Linked DNA regions of Macaca mulatta. The protein of the gene in region 2 purifies or fractionates together with the protein of the main gene of each other region. This does not show direct contact. Links are inferred from orthologs where the notes say so. Each region holds a gene or a part of one and is shown on either strand. Other genes may lie near its edges. The genes, in order: DPF2, BCL7C, SMARCB1, SMARCD3, SMARCD2 and SMARCA2.

What was found.
Region 1: the proteins of BCL7C (region 2) and DPF2 purify together in Homo sapiens (affinity purification with mass spectrometry; 4 studies listed by BioGRID and IntAct, counting the BioPlex papers as one, with this or other methods). This does not show direct contact. The link is inferred for Macaca mulatta from reciprocal best matches to the Homo sapiens genes BCL7C and DPF2.
Region 3: the proteins of BCL7C (region 2) and SMARCB1 purify together in Homo sapiens (affinity purification with mass spectrometry; 7 studies listed by BioGRID and IntAct, counting the BioPlex papers as one, with this or other methods). This does not show direct contact. The link is inferred for Macaca mulatta from reciprocal best matches to the Homo sapiens genes BCL7C and SMARCB1.
Region 4: the proteins of BCL7C (region 2) and SMARCD3 purify together in Homo sapiens (affinity purification with mass spectrometry; 3 studies listed by BioGRID and IntAct, counting the BioPlex papers as one, with this or other methods). This does not show direct contact. The link is inferred for Macaca mulatta from reciprocal best matches to the Homo sapiens genes BCL7C and SMARCD3.
Region 5: the proteins of BCL7C (region 2) and SMARCD2 purify together in Homo sapiens (affinity purification with mass spectrometry; 3 studies listed by BioGRID and IntAct, counting the BioPlex papers as one, with this or other methods). This does not show direct contact. The link is inferred for Macaca mulatta from reciprocal best matches to the Homo sapiens genes BCL7C and SMARCD2.
Region 6: the proteins of BCL7C (region 2) and SMARCA2 purify together in Homo sapiens (affinity purification with mass spectrometry; 4 studies listed by BioGRID and IntAct, counting the BioPlex papers as one, with this or other methods). This does not show direct contact. The link is inferred for Macaca mulatta from reciprocal best matches to the Homo sapiens genes BCL7C and SMARCA2.

What each region holds. Positions count from the first base shown.
Region 1 is NC_133419.1:9,052,471-9,055,454, forward strand, and holds part of DPF2 (zinc finger protein ubi-d4), read right to left. Parts: intron 2,044-2,984; coding exon 1,906-2,043; intron 1,781-1,905; coding exon 1,652-1,780; intron 1,464-1,651; coding exon 1,351-1,463; intron 1-1,350. UniProt on the Homo sapiens protein: Plays an active role in transcriptional regulation by binding modified histones H3 and H4. Is a negative regulator of myeloid differentiation of hematopoietic progenitor cells. Might also have a role in the development and maturation of lymphoid cells.
Region 2 is NC_133425.1:29,522,544-29,526,835, reverse strand, and holds the start of BCL7C (B-cell CLL/lymphoma 7 protein family member C), read left to right. Parts: upstream 1-1,492; 5' UTR 1,493-1,596; coding exon 1,597-1,688; intron 1,689-2,238; coding exon 2,239-2,317; intron 2,318-2,582; coding exon 2,583-2,691; intron 2,692-2,783; coding exon 2,784-2,945; intron 2,946-3,532; exon of another isoform or gene 3,533-4,129; intron 4,130-4,292. UniProt on the Homo sapiens protein: May play an anti-apoptotic role.
Region 3 is NC_133415.1:27,980,383-27,983,882, reverse strand, and holds part of SMARCB1 (SWI/SNF-related matrix-associated actin-dependent regulator of chromatin subfamily B member 1), read right to left. Parts: intron 3,056-3,500; coding exon 2,918-3,055; coding exon of another isoform or gene 2,864-2,917; intron 694-2,863; coding exon 566-693; intron 1-565.
Region 4 is NC_133408.1:190,675,212-190,678,711, forward strand, and holds part of SMARCD3 (SWI/SNF-related matrix-associated actin-dependent regulator of chromatin subfamily D member 3), read right to left. Parts: coding exon 3,318-3,500; intron 1,558-3,317; coding exon 1,515-1,557; intron 696-1,514; coding exon 573-695; intron 456-572; coding exon 333-455; intron 83-332; coding exon 1-82. UniProt on the Homo sapiens protein: Involved in transcriptional activation and repression of select genes by chromatin remodeling (alteration of DNA-nucleosome topology).
Region 5 is NC_133421.1:73,636,762-73,640,790, forward strand, and holds the start of SMARCD2 (SWI/SNF-related matrix-associated actin-dependent regulator of chromatin subfamily D member 2), read right to left. Parts: upstream 2,801-4,029; 5' UTR 2,412-2,800; coding exon 2,118-2,411; intron 1-2,117. UniProt on the Homo sapiens protein: Involved in transcriptional activation and repression of select genes by chromatin remodeling (alteration of DNA-nucleosome topology).
Region 6 is NC_133420.1:97,412,973-97,416,472, forward strand, and holds part of SMARCA2 (SWI/SNF-related matrix-associated actin-dependent regulator of chromatin subfamily A member 2), read right to left. Parts: intron 1,520-3,500; coding exon 1,393-1,519; intron 1-1,392. UniProt on the Homo sapiens protein: ATPase involved in transcriptional activation and repression of select genes by chromatin remodeling (alteration of DNA-nucleosome topology).

The DNA.
Region 1 (2,984 bases), on a different chromosome or scaffold from region 2:
CAACAGTAAAACTCCATCTTGAAATAAATAAATAAATATAAAATAAAATATAAGACAATGCCAAACATGGTGGGTTCACGCCTGTAATCCCAGCACTTTGAGAGGCCAAGGTGGGAGGATTGCTTGAGCTCAGGAGTTTGAGACCAGCTCAGCAATATGGCAAGACCCTGTCTCTATCAAAAATATAAAAAAAAGAAGCCAGGCATGGTGGTGTGCATCTATGGTCCCAGCTACCTGGGAGGCTGAGGTGGAAGGATTGGATTGCTTGAGCCTAAAGGGAGAGGTGGTAGTGAGCTAAGATTGCATCGCTGCACTCCAGCCTGGGTGACAGAGAGACTCTGTCTCAAAATAAAAAAATAAATACATAAAGAATAAATAAACAGCCGGGTGCGGTGGTTCACACCTATAATCCCAGGACTTTGGGAGGCTGAGGCAGGCGGATCACCGGACGTCAGGAGTTCAATACCAGCCTGGCCAACATGGAGAAACCCCATCTCTACTAAAAATACAAAATTAGTCAGATGTGGTGGCACGTGTCTGTAATCCCAGCTACTTGGGAGGCTGAGGCAGGAGAATCGCTTGAACCTGGAAGGCAGAGGTTGCAGTGAGCCGAGATCGTGCCACTGTACTCCAGCCTGGGCGACACAGCAAGACTCCGTCTCAAAAAAATAAATAAATAAAATAAATAAATACATACATAAATAACCATGTCACTTCCCTGATTAAAACCCTTTGACAGTGTCCTATTGTACCTAGAATAAAATCCAAGGCCCCACAGATCTGGCAGTGCTTGCCTCTCTCATCTCATCCCCCGCCATCCTCTCCCATGCCCTATCATTTGGCTTGTCCACTATAAGGCCTTGGCACTGGCTGCTCCTTTCCTGGGACTGCTCTACCTCCAAATCTGCTTGACTGGCTCCTTGGTATCACAAAATTTCAACACCAGCATCCCCCTCCCAGAAGAGCCAAACCTCACCATCAAAATAAATCACTTATGCAATTATTCTCTGCCACATTACTGGTTTCATTTTTTTCATGGCACATTATACAAATCTCACATCCTTGCTTATTGTTGTTCCTGTAAGAATGTAAATCTCATGCGGCAGGGACCTTGTTTGTCTTTAGTATCTTTAGTGCCTAGAACAGTGTCTGACATAAAATCAGCACTCAATATATATATTATCTGGCAACAAATCAGAGTTCTGACTGAGATGCTAGGGAGGGGCATGTGGCATGTAGGAGGGATCTTGCTCCCTTTTTAAAAAAAGAAAGCTCACTTTAGAGGGAACTGTGCAAACAGCAGTAAAAGCCCAGAAGGAGCCATGCTGAGGAGGGGGCGGGGATACACACGTCATTCTCAGAGGTGCCGCAGATGTTGCAACATTTGCACTCGATGCACTGCCAGCGGTACGTCTTCACTGCCGCCATCATCACGGGGGTAAACTGGAGGCAAGATGGATGCCCTATAGTGGGGGAAGTGAGTGAGACAGACAGTTGGAAATGCAGGGGGAAGAGAGGAGCTCCTGCTTGTGGCTACATCTTCTCTTGGTTAGGTAAAGTGAGGTGGGCTGGTTATGACAGCACTAGAGGCCAGCAAGCCAAGAGCCCCTTGGGGACTGGGCACAGCAGCAGCCTTCACGGGAGGCAGTACCTGAGCGGCCACAGTCAGAACAGGACACCAGCTCCTCGGGTTGTCCCGTCTTCTTGTTAATCTTTGAGTCCCCCAGGCAGAAGTCACAGTAGTTGTTGGGCAAGGCCAATCCATCAGGACCCTTTTTGGCTGCAGAGAGAAAGACTTTTGATGACGCCCATGGGGTCCCTGAGCCACTCAACACCCATGCAAGGAGTGGTTTTCATAACCAGGCCAACTTCTGCTTGCCCACCACTTCTGACACCTCAGCTTACATTTCTGCTCCTCAGACCTCTGGGAAACAGGAGTGGGTGGCTGGGAGTCTTCCTTGTCCTCGCCCTCCTCCTCAGCCAAGTGGGAGTGGGCATAGTGGTAACTGAGGCCTGGTCGGTTCTTGTAACGTTTTCCACAAACTGAGTGGGGAGAAGATTGCAGAGAAAGGTGTTAGGATACAAGAGTAACATGTCCCCACCCCTGCAAACTGTGGGGGCTCCACCTGAGGCAGAGGGCAACCATCCCTTCCCCTAGCAGCTCTACTCTGGGACAGGCCTTAAGTGATGGCCCCTTTCCCTCAGCCACGAGCATCAAGCCCTGGGGCTCTCTAGCCTCTGGGACTCTTTTACCTCCTAAACTCCAACCCCATGGCCACCACTGCTCTTCCATGTTGACTTTTGGGGGCTTAGCCCTCGCCCCATCACTAGTTAGTTGCTCTGGGATATAGTAACAGTCTGGGACGCTCCAGGTCAGGAAAGGGAAGGATATTCCTATAAGTCTTTGGTGTGGCAAGAAGGGGGAAAAGCGGATAAAACTCCAAACGTTTTTACCCATCAGTAAACGTGGGAGGCTCAGCTACCCCACAGAGACCATGGAGCCCATCTCCTCTGAATGTGCGTAAACAAGCAGGGGTGGGTTTCTTGGGGATATCCTATCAATGAAGCCAGTTGGGCAGTTGTCCCCAGAGAAATTCAAACACACTCCCACATAATTGCCCTGTCCAGGCCTGCCAATCAGCAAGGAAAGCAGATCCCCACGAGGCATTCTGTCATCTTGACAGGTAATACCAAGAAGGGCAAGGGGGCCAGCAGGAAAGGAATGGGGAGAGAGGATGGCAGGAGGTGGTGGGGCAGTGGGGAACATGAGCTGACCACCAGGTGCCTGATCTGGGGAGGGAGCGGAAGGGTCTGATTGTAATGGGCTCCTGATAATGCTTCTGAAGCCACCCCATGCACTGGGCTGAGCAGCTCTAGGAGTAGGTTTGTGGGAGACAAGCAGTGGTAAAGGCAGCCTCCAGGACTTTGAGGAGTAGAGCACAGCAGAAGTTCCACTGCTCCTACCCCCATGCCATTCCAGAGAT
Region 2 (4,292 bases):
TAAATAGTTATTGGGCATTTACCATGTGCTGGGAACTGTTCTAAGAGCTATACACACATTAACTAATTCCTATGTTATAGATGCGGAATAGAGAGAAGTGACTTGTTCAGGGTAATACAGTTGGGTGTGGCGCAGCTGGGATTTTACCTAAGCAGCTTGGCTCAAAAAATGCTGTCCTAATCATGCTCCTAACCCCTTATACCCTTAACCTCGGGACATGGTCACGCCCAAACTCACAGACACAACAGGCACATCTTGAAACACACACACACACACAGCAGCACAAATTTTGACATGGTCTTATCTGCTGACAAGCCAGCCTCAAATAAAGTCAACCAAGACACACTCACTTTCTTTAAGTAATGCACATTTTATTTAAGTCATGTGATGGATTTTCACAGAGTACATATGCCCAGGGAACCAGCACCGGATCACACAACAGAACTGGATCAGCTCCCAGAAGCTCTCCCCTCATCCCCTCCCAATCCTAAGGGCGACCACTATCTTGACTTTGGTGCACTTTAAATTAGTTTTGTCTGGTTCTGAACGTAATACACCTGGAACCATCTAGTATGTACTGTTGTATTTGGCTTCTGTCACTCAAGATTTCGTCATGCGACTTGTCTATGTTGCTGGGTGTAGCCGGGCATGTCACTCCCGTTGCTGTGTCTATGTGCATGGTAATGAGTAGGGCATCATTCATTTTCCATTCTGTTGATGGGTTATTTCCAGTTTGGGGCTGTTATGAAAGGGCTCTGAACGTTCCCAAGCACCCTCTTGGTGCTCACACCTACACATTTCTGCTGGGTGTTGACAGCCTAGGAGTGGAATTGCTGGATCACAGAGGTGGCATATGTTCGGCTTCACTAGAAAACTGCCAGTTCTCAAAACGTCTCTACCAATTTACACTCCCCCAGAAATACAAGAGAGGTTCAGTCGCTCTACTTTCTCGCCTCCACATGGTGCGGTCTTTTTCACTTTAGCCATTCTGGTGGGTAGAGACCTACTCGTATTCGCAGCGCCTGGCGCGTAATTGGCGCTCAGTTAACAGGACTGTTGAATGAATGGATGAATGAGTGTTGGGCGGTGTAGACCGAGAGCCTGGCGAGGGCGGACACACGCACGCACTCCACACACAGCGTTTCGCGGACACCCACCGCGGCGCACGCACCCCAGGACACAGACCCTCTCGAGCACCCCGCGCCCACGTGGTCTGAACGCACCGCCTCGGCCCTGCCTCGCGCGTCCGGCAGCCGAGCAGTACCCAACTCCCGCTCTCGACGGCGGGCAGGGGGCGCTGCGCGTCCAGGCGCTCCGAGGGGGCGGGCCCGGGTCGGGGCGGGGCCGGCCGGGCTTCCAGGCCTGGGCTCTGGCCGCCCGCGCCACCGGGCCGCTCCGGGGACGGGCCGGGGCGGGGCACGGCGGCAGGAAACGGGGCGGGGACTCGCGGAGGCGTTGGGGACGAGAGAGGGCGCGGCCAACTCCCGGGGGGACGGCAGGCCGAGAGCGCGGCGCCCGGGCCTGGCGCCGAGCCTGAGCCCGCCGGACGGGAGGCGGCCCCGCCGCGGGCTCGGCTCCGGCCCCAGCCCCGCCAGCATGGCCGGCCGGACCGTACGGGCCGAGACCCGGAGCCGGGCCAAGGATGACATCAAGAAGGTGATGGCGACCATCGAGAAGGTCCGGAGATGGTGAGCGCTGCCCGGGGGCCAGGGACGGGACACGGCGGGACCACCACCACCTAAGGCGTCTAAGCTGCCCTCGCCAGCTCTGGGCCCCGGTGTTCGCTGTATCCCCGCCCACTAGCTTTGCCCTGGATCTGTCCCCGTTCCCCTGGCTACTCCTGGGGGTCTACAAAGCGTGGTCCCCAGTCGTGCTCTCCCAGAGTGGGAGCCCCCGTTTGTGCCCCGCCCCCTAAAGCTTTGACACTCCTTCTGCAAGTGCGCCCCGAGATCTGCAGGTCTCTGATCCCGGGCCAGGCCCATAGCCACGCCCCCCGTGTGTGCCCCAGGGGTCCGCAGAGCCAGGGCCCAAATCATATCCTCTGTCTAGAGGCACCCACCGCCTGTGCCCTGGGGTTTGCAGGGCTCTCTTTCTCCATGTAACTATGCCCCATTAGCAAAACTGTTGCTACCCTCCTGTGCCTCCCCAACCTCTGCAGGTACCCCCAGATGTGTCCGGCTCCTGGGGGGGTGGGTCTCCCCTCAGGCCTCTCTGACCCAGTCCCCCACCCTCCCACAGGGAGAAGCGATGGGTGACTGTGGGCGACACTTCCCTTCGTATCTTCAAGTGGGTGCCAGTGGTGGACCCCCAGGAGGAGGTGAGCAACCCCCATTCCCACAAGGCCCTGCATCTGTGCAACCTCAGGCAAGCTCCTCCCCACCCTGACCTCTACCTCCAGCTCCCAGAGACCTCAGATGCAGCAGGACAGACAGATGGGAACCATCATTAGCAGCTCCTCCCCTTTTTCCCTCTTTTCTGTTCCACACCCTGAGTTCGAGCCCTTTTGCTTCTCAGTGCCTCAGTTTCCTTAGGTGTATGGTGGGGCTTTCCAAGAGCTCTGACCCTAATCCTCTAACCCCCAGGAGCGAAGGCGGGCAGGTGGCGGGGCAGAGAGATCCCGTGGCCGGGAACGTCGGGGCAGGGGCGCCAGTCCCCGAGGGGGTGGCCCTCTCATCCTGCTGGATCTCAATGGTAGGTAGGGATCCTGAAATGCGGAGGGCTGTGGGGACTGAAGGAGTGTATTAGGGATCTCAGGCCAACCATCTCGGCTCTTGCTCCCACAGATGAGAACAGCAACCAGAGTTTCCATTCGGAAGGTTCCCTGCAAAAGGGCACAGAGCCCAGTCCTGGGGGCACCCCCCAGCCCAGCCGCCCTGTGTCACCTGCCGGACCCCCAGAAGGGGTCCCTGAGGAGGCTCAGCCCCCACGGCTGGGCCAAGAGAGAGGTAGGACCAGGTACCTCCCAGGAGCCCTCTCCTCTAAGTCCTGTCTTCTCCAGAGTCTAACCTACCAGCTTATCCCTATACCTGCTCCCCATCTTGTGCACCTTCCTCAAGGTGCCTTCCGACTCCTGCAGAATGTCTCTGTAGTTGCTGTCTCATTCCTCTGGTCTCTTAGGATCTATAGATGACATATCACTGTCTGAGACTTTCATGTAAATTAATTTTTTACTATCTTTCTCCTCACTCTCATGTCAGTTTCCTGAATGTTGGGCCCATATTAATCCTTTTTTTTTTTTTTTTTTTTTTTTTGAGACAGGGTCTCACTGTGTCACCTAGGCTGGAGTGGTGCAGTGGTGTGATCATAGCTCACTGCAGCCTTGAACTTCCTGGGCTCAAGCGATCCTCCCGCCTCAGCCTCCCAAGTAGCTTGGACCACAGGCATATGCCATTTGTATTTTTTGTAGAGGCAAGGTTTCACCATGTTGCCCAGGCTGGTCTCAAACTCACTCACTCAAGCGATCCTCCATCTTCAGCCTCCCAAAGTGCTGGGATTACAGGTGTGAGCCATCACACCCATACCCGCCCCCCCCTTTATTTTTTTAGAGAGAAGTTCTCTGTCACCCAGGCTGGAGTGCACTGGTGCAATCATAGCTCACTGCAGCCTCAAACTCCTGGGCTCAAGGGATCCTCTGGCCCCAGCCTCCCAAGTAGCTGGGGACTACAGGTGTGTGCCACCACACCCAGCTAACTTTTAAATTTTTTGTAGAGTTAGGGTCTCGCTATGTTGCCAAGGTTGGTTTCGAACTCCTGGCCTGAAATGATCCTTCTGTCTCAGCCTCCCACGGTGCTGGGATTATAGGCGTAAGTCACTGTGCTTGGCCCTATGTGATCTTGTTCACTACTGTATTCTCAGAATAATATGGGACACAGAGTAGGTGCTCAGTAAATATCTGTTGAGTGAATAAATAATAGTGATAGTCATAGGGGTGATTAATAATAACAGGAATAACAACAGTATTTATTGAGCTCTTACTGTGTGCCAGGCGCCCTGGTAAACACTTTACATGGTTGGGTTTTTTTCTTTTCTTTTCTTTTTTTCCTTTGAGTTTCACTCTTGCCCAGGCTAGAGTGCAATGGCACAATTTTGGCTCACTGCAACCTTCACCTCCCAGGTTCAGGCAGTTCTCCTGCCTCAGCCTCCTGGGTAGCTGGGAATATAGGCATGAACCACCATGCTCGGCTAGTTTTATATTTTTAATAGAGATGGGGTTTCGCCATGTTTTGCCAGCCTCGAACTCCTGACTTCAGGTGGTCCGCCCACCTCGGCCTCCCAAAGTGCTGGGACTACAG
Region 3 (3,500 bases), on a different chromosome or scaffold from region 2:
AGCAGTCTAGACACTTGGGATGCATACCCTTCTAACCTTTCTGTCTACATCTGCACAAAGACTGAGTTCTGTTCAGGCTTTGGAAGCCCAGGAAGAGCCAGAAGAGATGGCACCTGACCCAGGACTTACAGAGTGAGGATATCTAAAGAGATGACCAGTTAGGGGAGGAGAGAGGCACGGGGCACACATGCAGCCTCACACAGCAGAAACAGGGTGGTGGACAGGACCCAAGGCAGGTGTGTGCAGGGCTCGGGGGCTGAACTAGGTCTAAGTGGCATTGTCATCATCATCCATGCTATGCACACCAGCCACCTCCCATGCCAGGCCCCTTGGGCCCCCCAACCTCAGTATGGGGAAAGGAGTCCGAAGTTCACATGCCCAACCCACAGTGAACAGCAACAGAACCAGGGCTGAACCCAGAGCCCACACCCTCCAAAACTATGCCCCGATGTCCCGCATGTCAGGTCCAGAATCTGCCTGACAGGCAGCTGGTAGGAAAGGGGACTGTTCCCACGTAACACACAGGGGCTGGGGCCAGGCCCAGCCAAGCCCGACTGCCTTGTACCATTCATGTTCCAGGTGAAGGCGTCTCGCAGTTTCTGCCCATCGATCTCCATGTCCAGCCGGATGGGGACCAGCACCTCGGGCTGAGATGCATTCTCGTGGATCACAGCTGGGTCGTGGTCATCAAAGCTGAAAGTGAAATGGAAGCAACAGTCAGTGAGGGTGCCAGGGCCCTAGGCATGCAAATTTTCAGCCTCCCTCTCTGCACAGCAGGCCTCTGCAAACCCATCTGGGGAACATGGTCACTTATCAGCTAACAGCTGAGGCAGCAGGGGTCCCAGGGCCATGGTCTAATGGGGACAGGTGGGTCCATAAATGACAAGCACCAGTCTGTCTGCAATAGGATCGACCCGGGCAGTGCTGGAACAAAACCCAGATGTCCTGTGAAGGGATATTTAAGCCTGAAATTTGGCAGGACTTTCACAGAAGGCTGTAGGCAAGCAGAATAGCATTTCTAGAAGAGGATATATTCCAGTAAGGCCAAAGCAGGTGAATGGAGGAACTGCTGAGGACGCACAAACAGACCACAGAGCACAGATTCCATGGGGGGCAGTGGTCAGGGATGCTGCAAAGCTAGCGGGTGTCGAAGCACCCACAGTTCTCCTCTCAGGCTACACAAACTGGCCACTGCCCTGAGGGAGTCCCAGGAGGATTCCAAGCAATGGAGTTGAGTATTTTGGGAAGATAAAGAGGGAAGAGTTGGGCAGGCAGGTTGGTGAGATGGAGCTGGAGGACAGAGGACACCTAAGGGCGTCTGGGAGCATGGAGAGGGCTGAGAAGGGCCCCCGCGATCTTGGGAGGCAGATGGAAGAGAGAGAGAAACGAGCTGAGTGCCAGGCATGAATGCGCTGGGAAACAGACAGGGAAAGGGGTAGGGGTGCTGGAGGAAAGGGGTGGCCACTCTAAGGGAGAAGGGGACAGTCAACTAGGGATGGGAAGAGGAGATGGAGGGAAGGAAGAGAGAAGGAAAAGGAGGAGGGGGAAGGATGGGAAGGAGGGAAGGAGAAATGATGGAAGGAAAGAAAGAAGAAAGGAAAGAGGGGAGGAAGGAGAACGGGCTAAACCTTAGCAGAGGCAACTGCTGGGCAGAAGCTCTGGGAGGTCTGACAGCAGTGAGGGCGATCTCAGGTCTGAGGCAGAGTGAGTGGGGCAGAGTGTGGCAGTGGCAGCACCAGGCCAGGTTGGGCCTGGCACCCCAGTGAGAACTCCTCCTTCTGCTCCGAGGGTGATGGGGAGCCTGGAGGATTGTGCGTGGAGAGGTGACACGATATGCCTGGAGCAGAGGACACACCAGCTGCAGAGCTGAGAAGGCAACAGGGAGGGGAGGCAGGGGCTGCTAGAGACCCCAGGGAGAGCAGTGGGGGGCTGGCCAAGGCAGTCCCGGGTGGGACCTTGGAGAGACTGGACTTGCTGTGTGAGGAAAAGGCAGGCCTTGGGAAAGAAAGCTACAGCCTGAGCAAGGAGACGGCTGGATCTCCATGCGCCGAGATGGAGAAGTCTTCAGGCAGCATGAGGCTGAGGGGGTGAGGGCAGCTGAGGAAGTCTGGGCTGCAGAGGTAAAAAACAGACCCCGAAGACATCTACAGCCTAATCCCCAAAACCTATAACTGTCACCTCATATGGCCAAAAAAGGAAACTTTGCAGATGCGATTAAGTGAAACATCCTGAGAGGTTAACCAGAAGGGCCCTAAATTACATCACCAAGTGTCCTTCTAAGAGAGAGACAGGGAGATTTCACGCAGAGAAGGCCACGTGACCACAGAGGCCGAGACTGAAGTGAGGCAGCCACAGGCCCAGGAATGTGGCAGCCCCCAAAGCCGGAAGCAGCAAGGACCGAATCGCCCCGAGGGCCTCTGGAGGGAGCACGGCCCTGTCTACACATGCATCTGGTCTAGTGAAACCAAATCTGGGCTCCTGGGCCCCCGAACTGTGAGGGAAGAACTGTGCACTGCTGGCAGCCACCAGTTTGTGGTGGTTTATTCCAGCAGCCTCTGGGAAGTGGTGGCGCGGTGGGAATCACGTGGATGGCATGTGAACCGTCAGACTGGCTATGACCCACTCGTGTGAAACTGAGGGCAGAGAAAGGGCACAAGGACCGCGCCCCGAGTAACTCCACTTGAGGGGCCAGAGAGGTGAGGAGGACACGGCAAGGTGACAGCAGACAGAGCCAAAGAGGCTACAGACAATGTCCTGGAGGTCAGGGAAACACAGTGGTTCAAAGAGAAGGAGGTACTGTAGCATTGTGGGGAGCACAAGGTCAAAGCAGTGTTTTTCTGGGGAGGAGGGGACTGAAATGTGCTGGAGAACTAAGGGAGAATCAGGGCAGAGGGTGAGCGCAGCGACACATCCGCACCAAAGGGGGAAGGTTCTCTTCTTGTCCCGGCCCATGCGGTTCCTGTTGATGGTCGTGGAGCATGGCACGGCATCCAGGTGGTGGGAGCTGTTGGGCAGGGTGGGTACCCACTGGCTGTTCCTCTTGGCCTTCTGTTCCCTGGGGAGATACAAGAAAAGTCCCCCCAGTCAGTCTAGGAGCCTGATCCTGCCCACCAGGAATCAACTCATGCTCAGGGGATGCCCACTGTACCTCTGTCAGGCTCGAGGCTCCCGTGGGAGTTGTCTGTGCACCTGATTTTGCAGAAGCCTGCTCCCCAGGCTGTCATCAGATGCTAGAGGCACCTGAGCAAGGGCAAGGGTATGGAGGGGCACCAGACACAGCCCAGCACGCAGGTCAGTTGCTAACCCACGGCCATGGTGTACTGCACTATGAGCCAGGCATGGCTCCACAGAAGCACTTCCTGGAGATGCGGGAAGTGGTACAAGGGGGAGGCTTGTACAAGGGGTGGACAATAGAGCAGAGCCTTAGACACCAAGTCAGGGTTCACTGTGGGGAGGGGCACAGGCAGCAGCAGGGAGGAGAGACTGAGGGGCAGTCCAGG
Region 4 (3,500 bases), on a different chromosome or scaffold from region 2:
TGTCAGGACCATAAAGATCTTTGTCCAGCTCGATGACCAAACTCTTGAAGAAAGAAGAGAACTTCCGCTTCTGTTTGCTGGGCTGTGGGAGAGGAACAGGAACCATGGGGGCAGAACAGGGACAGGGTGGGAGAAGCAGAAGGAGGCCAAGTTGGCAGCAGACAGGGCAGTGGGCTTAGATGAAATCCTCTGCACCTGGAATGTCTCTAGGCCTGCCCCCACCTCCCCAGCCTGGGCTGACTCCCTAGCCCTTAGTGCAGACACTTTGTTCTGTTCTCAGTGCAGCCCGTGCCCACCCCAGGACACCTGGAGAGACCTGGGCCGGGACGTACATCATCCAGGAGCTTCCCCTCCACCCGTAGCTCCCAGGAGGCAATGCTGCCATCGGAGTCCTCAGCGTCAGGCTTCGCAGGGTTAAAAGTGTTGGAGATATAGAGACGCAGCTTCCGCTTTTGCTGTAGAAATAGAGTGTAGAACCTGGCAAATGCTGTGTGCTTCCACCCTGACTACCTTGCTTCCCCATCCTGGTCACGCGACTCAAGAGTCCCCTTCCTACCCCCGAACTAAGGCACCTTCATGGGCCTCTTCAGAGCCTCCTGGATGTCCACCCGCTTCCGCATGATGGTTTGATCCAGTTTCCTCTCAAATGCCAAGAGGTCCATGTAAGCCTGGGACTCGGGGACCAGCTCCCGAATCTGGAGGAGGAGGAGCAGGGCAGGAGTCAGAGGCTCGAGTCCAGGGTTGTACCATGGAATGTATGCATGTTGTGCAATCCTAGGGTGCAAAAGATGTCGGGGGAGCCATCCTACTTCTGGGCATGGAGCTTTGACAGTGGGAACAGGACCTCTCCCCAGGATGCCATTATCCAGCAGTAGGGGCCTTGCTGTGTAGGGATAACAATTGCTTCTCCCTTTAGGAAGAGCCTTGTGTATCATCACGGGGAGGAGGTAGCAACTGTGGAACCCAGCAAAGCACTAGCCTTTAGTCTCCTCATCCTGTCATTTTCTATGTCATATGCCCACTGGGCTTCCCCTGGGCCCCTGCAAAGTGCCTAGTAGGGGCTCAATCCCTGGGACAGTTGGACAGCAGTGCTTTCTTCTTTGCTGGCACATTGCTCAGCCCCCACACCTGTCCCAACTGTGCTGTCCCCCATATCCAGCTGGACCTGGGTCCCTTTAGGATGCTCAGGATCTCTGGCCACCTTCTATCCCCTTCATTCTGCCTGGCAGCTTTTGATCCCCTAGCTCTTGCCCCCTTCTTGTCCCACAACTCTGTCTTAGTACCACTTGGATCCAGCCCCCTGACAGGCCCCTGTGTTCTGGCCCCAGTGGCTCTGCTGCTTCCCTCCACCTCACCCCCTCCCTCTGGCCTAGGGAGCCTCACTTACTAATGAGTTTTTTTAAACAAAAAGTGAAAGTGACTGTGACACTGAAGCTCTGCTTTTGAGGGGGGAGGGGAGGGCAGAGCAGCAAAGGGTAGGGGGTGGGCTGGGGGCTGCTGTGAAAGACACTCACCCTTTGAGGGAGGATTTTGTCAGCCATCTTCCTCCTCTTGGCACTGTACATTTTTTAAAGAAAAAACCAGGTTACCATGGCGACAGATCTGGGAGTAACGAGGCCACCTGCTAAATTATCCCGACATCTCCGCCCGCCTGGCTGGGGTTCCCACAGCCCGCTTGTCTGCCCGCCCAAGGGCTATGACGGTGGTGTGTGGAACTGGTGCTCTGTCCTCTCTAAGGACACAGGGGTGACCCGTCCATTCTCTGGCCTGGGAGCCCCCTTCTAACCTGCCACATCCTTAGGGACAGAGAAATTTAGACTTAGGAGGGACTGGCGAGTGGGGGTGGTGCTGCCAAAAGATGGGAGCTGCAGAAGTGTTTGAGGAAAGGTGGGGATGAGGGAGGACAAAGGAGAGGGAAGCCAGGTCTGAGGACCTTTTCTGGAAAGCAGGGGGTGCCCTGTCCAAAGGATTCTAAGCTCAGAGGGAGGGAGATAGACGACTTCCTTCCTATCCATGGAGCGGGAGGTGATGGTGTGAAGCTGGCGGGACTTGCATCCCTTCCAGGCACCCTGGGCTTGCAAGAGAATGCTGATGAGCAGGGGTACTCATGCCCTGGGACTACCTGGCAACAAGGTGAGGGACATGCTGCAGCCATAGGCGCCCAGAATGTGCATGGGTGTGACTTCAGGCTGAGGCCAAACTGACTAGGCCCAGGGTAGTAGCAGCTGGATGTGAGCTCTTTCTGACCCACTAGCTGCTGCTGACTAACCCAAAAACCCCCAGAAAAACCTTGGCGGGTCAAGAGATGAAAACGCAGCCTAGAGAATAGCTCCATACTGCCCCCGTGTGGTGTTCTCAACCACTACCCCCTCCCTATGCAGAAATCTAAGGCTAACAAGCAGATTTCATTAAAGGTCTGGTTTGTTTTAGACAGATTATCTTTGTGTAACTCTCCATTTATACAAGATAAATCAGGGAATTACCGTTTGCTGTACAAAATGACGATGCACTTTACAAAATAATTCATCATGGGATTCCTATAAGTGGTGAATTTTACCTGATGTGTAAAAAATACTTAATAATGAGGTAAAATTGATATTACACCTTTTATAGAAATCCATCTGTTGTGCAAAAAAAGCATGTGTATTTGGCTAAATACTGAAATCCAGAGGGGCACTGCTGTTGCCAGGAGCCAGCAGGGGCTTTAAGGGTGCCACCAGCTGCTGGAGGAAAATAAGGCAATGGGCTGGCCCTGGTGGCTTGGGAGCAGACCTGGTCCAGAGTGCCTAAGAATTAAGAGCGGAACTGGGCAGAGACCACCTACCACAGGGCAAATCCCCAAGCTCCACCCCCAGGGCCAGAGAGTCCCATTGAGAAAATCTGGAGTGGCTTTGAAACAGTCCGGGGTCTGGCAGGAAGGCTCAGCGGAGAACTACACTTTGGGCAACACAGTCCTACAGCTCTGCCCTCAGTCCCACTGGAAGCCCCGCCCCCAACCCAAAGACTGAAGCATCACCCAGAACCTGATGGGTGGAGAGAGGGACTGAGCAGGTGACAAGGAGAAGGGTGAGGGGAACGTGCAGGGAAGCGGTACCGGCTGCCGACGGCCACAGCCTGTCTCTACCGTGGGCACACAAAAGAATCAGGCCGGTGCCCCCTAAGCCCACCTCCCCAGAGGGCATCCGATCCGGGAAGCCTCGCTCCCTGCTAATCATTCTTCCTCACCTCTTCCAATCCCCGCTACTCTCTCACCTGGTCCCTGCGGGTCCCCAGGGCCCGCCCCTGCACGCCCCCTCCGCGCCGGGCCTCCCACTCACCTGCGGCTCCGCGCGGGGGCGGTGGGCACCGGCTGGCCCTGGCTCTGTGCCTGGCTCTGCCCGGGCGGGGGCGCTGCTCGCTTACGGGCGGGCTCCATGCCCGCGGGGGCCAGGCCGGGTCGCACGGCGGGGCTGCCCATGTAGGGGGAGCCCGGGGGGCCCATGGGCGCCCCCTGGTGGGGC
Region 5 (4,029 bases), on a different chromosome or scaffold from region 2:
TGGACTCAGGCAATCCTCCTGCCACAGCATCCCGACTAGCTGGGACCATAAGCGCACACCACCAAGTTTGGCTAAATTTTTTTGGGTTTTTTTTTTTGAGAAATTATGGTCTCACTATGTTGCCTAGGCTGGTCTTGAACTCCTGATCTCAAGTAATCCTTCTGTCTGGGCCTCCCAAAGTGCTAGGATTATAGGTGTGAGCCACCACATCCTGCCCTGGAGGGTTTTTTGTTGTTGTTTTTGTTTTAGGTTCCTCTGTTAACTGTGATCCACAGCCAGAACCACCCTCTGGAGGAAGGGAGGTCATCACTTCCCTTCTTTCAACTATTTGTTCAGCTTGGGCCTCAAATTCTCGCTTTTCCAGCACATCTCATGAGCCCTAACAGACAGGAACCCCTCTGTTTCCCAGATCTCAAGTCCCCCCTGGAAGTCATACAACTGGACTTGGAAAGAGAGCAAGTAGGATCCTCTTCAAACTCAGCCAAAGTTAGCTGGCTGGGTTCTCTGTACCATCTACCTCTCCTGCCAGGAGGAGGAAAGCTAGTGGGATGGGAAACCCAGACTCAGGGCCATCTCCTACTTCCCCACAGCTAGCAGCCCAGGCCTAACCAGCCAGCCAGCTTGGCCTTGCCACAAGCCCAAGGCCACCCCCCACCAAACATGTGGAATCCATTCTCTTAGGGGCTGTCTCAAGGGCACATTTCCTATGACTTTTTGCATGCCAAGGAAACTGGAGCGGCTTGTCTGTTCCAGGTCCTTCCAAGGCCAAAGGCCCACAGATGGTGCCCAGGCCAGGTCTCAGTGGGCAGGCCCAAGGGCTACAATGACTGATGCAGGGAGCCCTCAGCAACACCCTGGGCCCATGAATCCCCAAGGGGGAGAGTAGGGTGGGAAAGATGAGCCCCAGCTGGAGTCCCTGGGACCAGGTCTGTCTCTGCCCATATCCAGACTCTGTTTTCTCTTGAGAAAGGAGGAAGAATGAGGAGGAAGAAGGGAAAAAAATCCAGTCACTGTCCCTAGTTAAGCCATCTCCTTAGATGTGAGGCCCAGTGGGGCAGGTAGGCTGTGTATACTCCACGAGGATCCCTAAGGACCTCCGCCTGGAGACAGGAGTCGAAAACAGAGGAAGCCCACAGCAGACCCTGGGAGAAGCCAGTGTCAAATGCTGGGGCATATGGCTTCGGATGTGGCGGAGTTAGAACCTGAAGGCCAAATAAAAATGCAGAGAGGATGATAAGGCAGATGGGCACAGTTTCCAAGCCTGCTGGTGCAACCTGAACAGCAGACTAGGGGACCAGCAGGGTCAGGCTGAGGTTCTCACACACTGAGCAGAAGTCGCTGCCTTCCAAGGGCTTTTGAAGCTGAAACCTGAGCAGCTCTCAAAACCCCAAAGGGGTCAGGACAGCACTCTTTGAAGCAACTCTCGCAGACTCCTCGGGCCCCAGACCAGCAGGGTTCCACTCTGCACGTCCAGACTAATCAACTACCCGACACGATGACAGGAGGCAGAAAGCCCAGAAGAGAGCCGGCCTGTGACTAGGCTGGGCCTCCCCTCAAGCCTGGCCACCACCGTCTCTGGTCTAAGCTGGAGTCCTCCCCAGCGAAGGCGCCTGGCCCTGCCTCTGGAGTAAAGTCCGCCCGTGCACAAGCTGGAATGAATCCCCTGGCCCTAGCCTCAGCGTCCCGTGCCCGTGGGAAGCCAGGCTCCTTCCTCCTCATTAGCAGCCGGGAGCCATCTCAGACACGCTAGAGCTCGGCCAGTTCGCAACCAGAAAAAACAGGGCAGACTTGGAGTGGGACCAAGGCCGATGCAGGGTAACCCCGGTTTCTCAGCGAGGGCCCTTTCCCAAACTTTCTCATCACTTTCTAGCCCTCCTACCCTAGACTTCTCAACCCACCCGCCCACAATTCACTGGTTCCCCAAACTCCTCCATCTCCCAGTCACTCGGAATCTCTGTGCCGCGGAAGCCCCCAGGCCTCCCAGCTGGTTCCAGCCCTCCGCTGCAGGACTCGCTCCCCCTTCCCCACTCCTCCACCGCCACCCGCCGCAGCCCGAGGGATCTGGCCCGCCCTCCACCGTCTCCCAAAGTTCCTCATGCATTCCCCAAGGCCCTCACTCGAGGCCCCCTCAGCCCCCGGCCCGGGCGCCCTCGCGGCGCCGCACGCCCCCGTCCGCTCGCGTCCTCCCTACTCACCTGGTACTGCGCCGCGGGGCCCGCGGGGCCCATGGGGCGGAAGGCGGCGGCCCCGGGGCCCCCCACGCCTCCAGCCGGACCCGGTCCCCGGAGCGCCGGTCCGGGCAGCATGCCGGGTCCGGCGGGGGGAGGAGGCGCTCCCAGGGCCGCGGCCACGGCGCCGCCGCCAGGGCTTAGCGGGGGCAGCGGGAACCCGCCCGCGCCTCGGCCCGACATCGCTCCGTCCCGTCCCGCGGTGCCGCGATCCGGACTCCGGGCTACGCGTCGAGTCCACTCCGCGCTCTGTACTCCGCGATCCGGGACTTGGCGATCTTAATTCCGGGTTCCGGGATTTGTCGATCCGGGCTCCGGGATTTCCTAATCCAAGTTCGCGAGTTCCTCACAGACCCGGTTCGGGACAGATTCCGCTCCTGCGCCGGAGATTCCGGATCCAGGATCTGCTGTGGGCCCGCCTGCCGCCCCCGGACTCCGGAGGTTTGGCCGCCCGAGTCGAGTTACCCAGAGGCGGCTACGAACTCCCTGCCCCGCCCAACCCAGCCCAGCACTAGGCCCCGCCTCTACCTGGTGCCCAATGCTCGAGTGCCTCCTTGAATCCCGCCCCTCGCGAGACCCGCCCCCAGCAGGCACCGCCCCTAACCGCCGACCTCAGAGTCCCACCCCCCACCTTTGGCCCCGCCCTTCATCGGAGGGGCGGGAGCGGAAGCTGCGCGCGGAAGCGCCGAGTGAGGCGCGGGGTCAGAGGTCTAAGGTCACGTTGAGGCTTCACAGTGAATGAGCAGTTGCTACTACTCTTTCCCGGTGTAGCAGCCTCACCGAAAATAGTTTTGTCAAGTCTCCTTTCTGCATCTTCCACATTAAAGACCCAACTCAGAGTCGGTAGCGGTGGCTCACGCCTGTAATCCCAGCACTTTGGGAGGTTGAGGCGGGTGGACCACCTGAGGTCAGAAGTTCGAGACCAGCCTGGCCAACATGGTGAAAACCCCGTCTCTACTAAAAATACAAAAATTAGCCGAGAGTGGTGGCTGGCGCCTGTAATCCCAGCTACTCGGGAGGCTGAGGCAGGAGAATCGCTTGAACCCGGGAGACAGAGGTTGCAATGAGCCGAGATCTCTCCACTCCACTCCAACCTGGGCGGCAAGAGTGAAACTCCTCAAAAAAAGAAAAAAGACTCAGCTGCTCTCTGGGGCAGAACAGCAGCCAACTCAACTTCCTGTAAAAGCTCATCCTGGTAGCTCGGAACTGCCAAGGGACCTAGGAGGCTCCAGACTTGACCCAGCTGGTGAATGGTCGACTTGGCCAAGGCTGAGCTCTTACAGCACATTTTTAACGTGGCTCTGCCTCACTATAAGGAAGCCTGGTACTTTACTCCCCAGCAAATGCTTCTAGTCAAAAGAAATTTGGCTTATGAGAAACCTCCCCGCAGTTTAAAAAGAGGTCTTTCTCTAGTATTTATAGCACTTAATTTTCAAAAATGCAGTATCTTTTCAGATACACTGTGCTGTATCAAAGTATTCAAAAATGCTTCAGCTGTCCCTTTGATGGTCTGGGTCTCCTCACCGTGATACGGCCCAGTGCTGCTTAAACCCTAATGAGCACATAAAAAACACCCGAGGCTCTTATTAAAAATGCAGATTGTGGCAGGGCCCAGGACTCTACATTTCTAACAAGCTGCCAGCGATGCTGTTGCTTCTTAGACCATACTGTCAAGAAGCCAGGATCTAGACTTTTTTTTTTTTTTCTTTACTATAATTGGTTTATTTTTCAGCCCCCACCAAGTAATGCTTCCTTTCTTGCATCATAGCACCCCAGATATTTTTTATAGTTTTCCAACGCT
Region 6 (3,500 bases), on a different chromosome or scaffold from region 2:
AGCTACATTTTGTATTATATCATGAACTTATTTTAGATCATCACAAATGTAATACTTTTATCTGTATTGCATGCTATGTGGTGGTAGGGGGTAGGGACTGGAGAATACACATTAAATAATCATTCCACTGAATCTGAAATCATCATTAGTTACAGTTAATTTAATTGGGAAGCTTCATAAATAACAGATTTTTAAAATAATATCAAACAAAAATCAGAAACCAATAAGAATCCAGCACAGCAATGCTAATTTGAACATAAACTTATTCCTGAAAATATACTTGGTTAATATTCATTTAGTGAGATTTTATCCAGCACTTTATTAATTCATCTTGTGAGGTCACCAATAAGAAAGAAGTAAACAGAACTCAGAGAATTTTCCCTCTTCTTTTTAAAATTTAAGCTGAAATCTACTCTCACAAACCAAGGGCCAAGTAGCACCTACTCACCACTAATGTCCATCTGTGATATTATAGCCAGTAAGGCAAATATACACCCAAATTCCTACAATAGCAAGGGGAGTGGCCTGTGATTTTACTCGCATCCTCCAACAGACCAAGTCAATACTTCCAAACTACTTTTACTCATTAATCATTCATTTTGCATGTTCCAGGCTTTAACAAAACAAACCCATCTGACTAACAATGAAAGGCTCCTTCTCCCCTTTGGCTTAGTGAGGCAATCTGTGGACTAGCAAACTTGAACATTCTGAGTCCACAAGGCAAAACTCACCAAAGTGAAAAGTAGCTCTAATTCATTCCACTAGTCTCTTACTAATTTAGAAATCAGAAAATAGGTCATTATACTGGCTTTTAATAACTACTGTAATGACAAGATAATTTACAGATTAGTCACTGTATGAGCCTGATGTGATTAAACACTCCAAACTCAGATATTGGTGAATAAATAAGCTGTAAGACACTGTTTTATGTATTTCTATAAATGATGAACTAATTCTGTAGAGTGGCTATCATATTTGTTAAAATTCTTTTCACAGTCGTGGCTAGCACTTAACATCTGTGCTTACGAAGAAGCTCCACTCTACTACCTTCTGGTTTTTCCTTGGAGTCATAAAGGCAAACATGAGCTACCCCACTTGTTCCCAAGGTTTTTCATCCATGGTAACAAAATGCCATAACTCTTGACTTTGTAAACCATAGTACAGGAGGAAAAACTCTTTCCCATATACAGAAGAGAAAACCAGAATAATAAGCAGTTCATCTTCATTATTTTTAGTTGTAAGCTGTTGGTCTAAAAGATTCACTATTTTACTATGTTTCTCTCTTTATATCTTTATAACAATATCGAATAGACTAAAGGCAACACAGATAACACTTTAGGAACAATTACATTTATTTCCTACATCTCAGATTCACTGGGGAAAAGGTATTACCTGACGCTGGAAATTGAGTAACCGAAGTGCTTTTAGTTCCACGGTTGCTTTGGTTCGTAAATCTGGTGGCAAAGAGCCAGGCAGATTTTCCAGTTCTTGTATCCTATGAGCTATGCGGGCCTGAAGTCTGAAGGAAACAATAAAACGGGGAAAAGGGGGCAGTGGAAAAACACATTACAATTTAATGTTACATGATAAACAATGACATCAGGTTTAAGTTCAGGGCAAAACATATTCCAGATACTGATAGTTGATTTCTGACACCCAACTAGAATTTTTGATGTTAAGCAGAGAAAAGCTACCTTTGTATTAATGCAGACAGGTATATGTTAACTTAACAATGTGGCTTCCTCCATAACCCCTATCTAACACCAGGGAAAGAGGGTTCACCCTGTATCTAGTGGGGAAGTCAAATGTCCTTGCTCGCTCTTAGCAGAGAGAGAAATGAGAGACAGAAACAATTGACTCGCTTCCTAACTCCCAGCCGGACAGAATGCAGAGCTGAGAGGACACACTTTTTTCTAACTTCTAGTTCTGTCCTAAGGCAACCGGACCATTTGTCTTCTTTGCCAAGATGCCGATGACGAACAGCCATTAAAGCGGAGAGAGCAAGAACGGTTTTAGGTGCTGATGCCACAGAAATCAGCCAACCCTAAACATTCAGAAAGCGCTCTGCCAGCCACAGCCACTTCCTCCGTGAGCAGAGCTTGCTTGAGAAAAGAAAATACAAATGAGGCTGTTTTTAAAAAATCAGGGCCAGCAGTAAATAGTACTCAAAAACCAAGAGTTTCTAGAAAAGGATGTTGAGGATTCTCGTTTTACACACCATCAAAAATATAACTGCATGTACTTCCGCATAATAAAGGCAGAGTAGAAAATAAAAGACCTCTCACTTTAGCCATTCACTTGGGATACTATTACTGTTAGATATATAAACTGCTGGTTTTAGAGTTCACCTGAATCCTATTCTGACAAATAATTATATGCCATTTAAGCCTGTTTTTAGAACTACATCCCCTAAATTTGAGGCAAACTGTACTGAACTAGATTTCAACAAAGAAAGAATAATGATAAAATGAGTAATAAGTTAAACTAGGTTAATATTAACAGAACTAAGTGCCTTTAATGCATAATTTTATTTAATTGTCTCTCTCTTACACACACAGACACGCCTCTCTCTATAAGGTAAATGTTATAATGGTCCCATGTTACTGATGAGGAAAACTGAAGACACCTGGAGATACCACAGAGCTAGTAAAGAAGGGGGCCAAGACTGGAACCTCAATTTGCCTGATACCAAAACCACTGCAATGAAACGGTAGATAATTAAAATATACTTTCTGAGAACCTTCCTGGACCTCAACTATAAAAGTTGAAAATTAAGAATTCTGTTTAAAATTATGCACAGCCATTAAAAAAAAAAAACAACCAAATCATGTCCTTTGCAGCAACATGGATGCAGCTGGAGGCCATTATCCTAAGCAAATTAATGCAGGAACAGAAAACCAAATACCGCATGTTCTCACTTTTAAGTGGCAGCTAAACATTGGGTATTCATGGACATAAAGATGGCAACAATACACACTGGCGACTACTAAACGGGGGAGGGAGGGAGGGCAGCAAGGGTTGAAAAACTTTTAGGTACTATGCTCATTAGCTGAATGATGGGATCCATTGCACCCCAAACCTCAGCATTATGCAATACACCCATGTTAAGAAACCTATTCATGCATCCCCTGAATCTCAAATAAAAGTCGAAATTATCTTAAAAAATGAATATTACAGTGTTTTCCAAACATGATGGTGTTGCCAGACTACAGAGCTGAGAGGACAGACTTTTTTTCTTTCTAACTTCTAGTTCTGTCCTAAGGCAACCAGGCCATTTGTCTTCCTTGCCAAGATGCTGATGATGACAGGCATCATTTTCATTAACATGAAAAAGTAAAACCTCCTGGTCCTAAATGCTGTAGGAGATCTAATACTTCATATAGCCAAATATCAAAATGAGTGATTTTTTGTAAAAACCTACAGTTGCTTAGTTTGGAAGGGAAATAAAATGTCATCATTTTTAAAAATTTTAAAATGGTGGTAAGGAAAACTATTTTTCA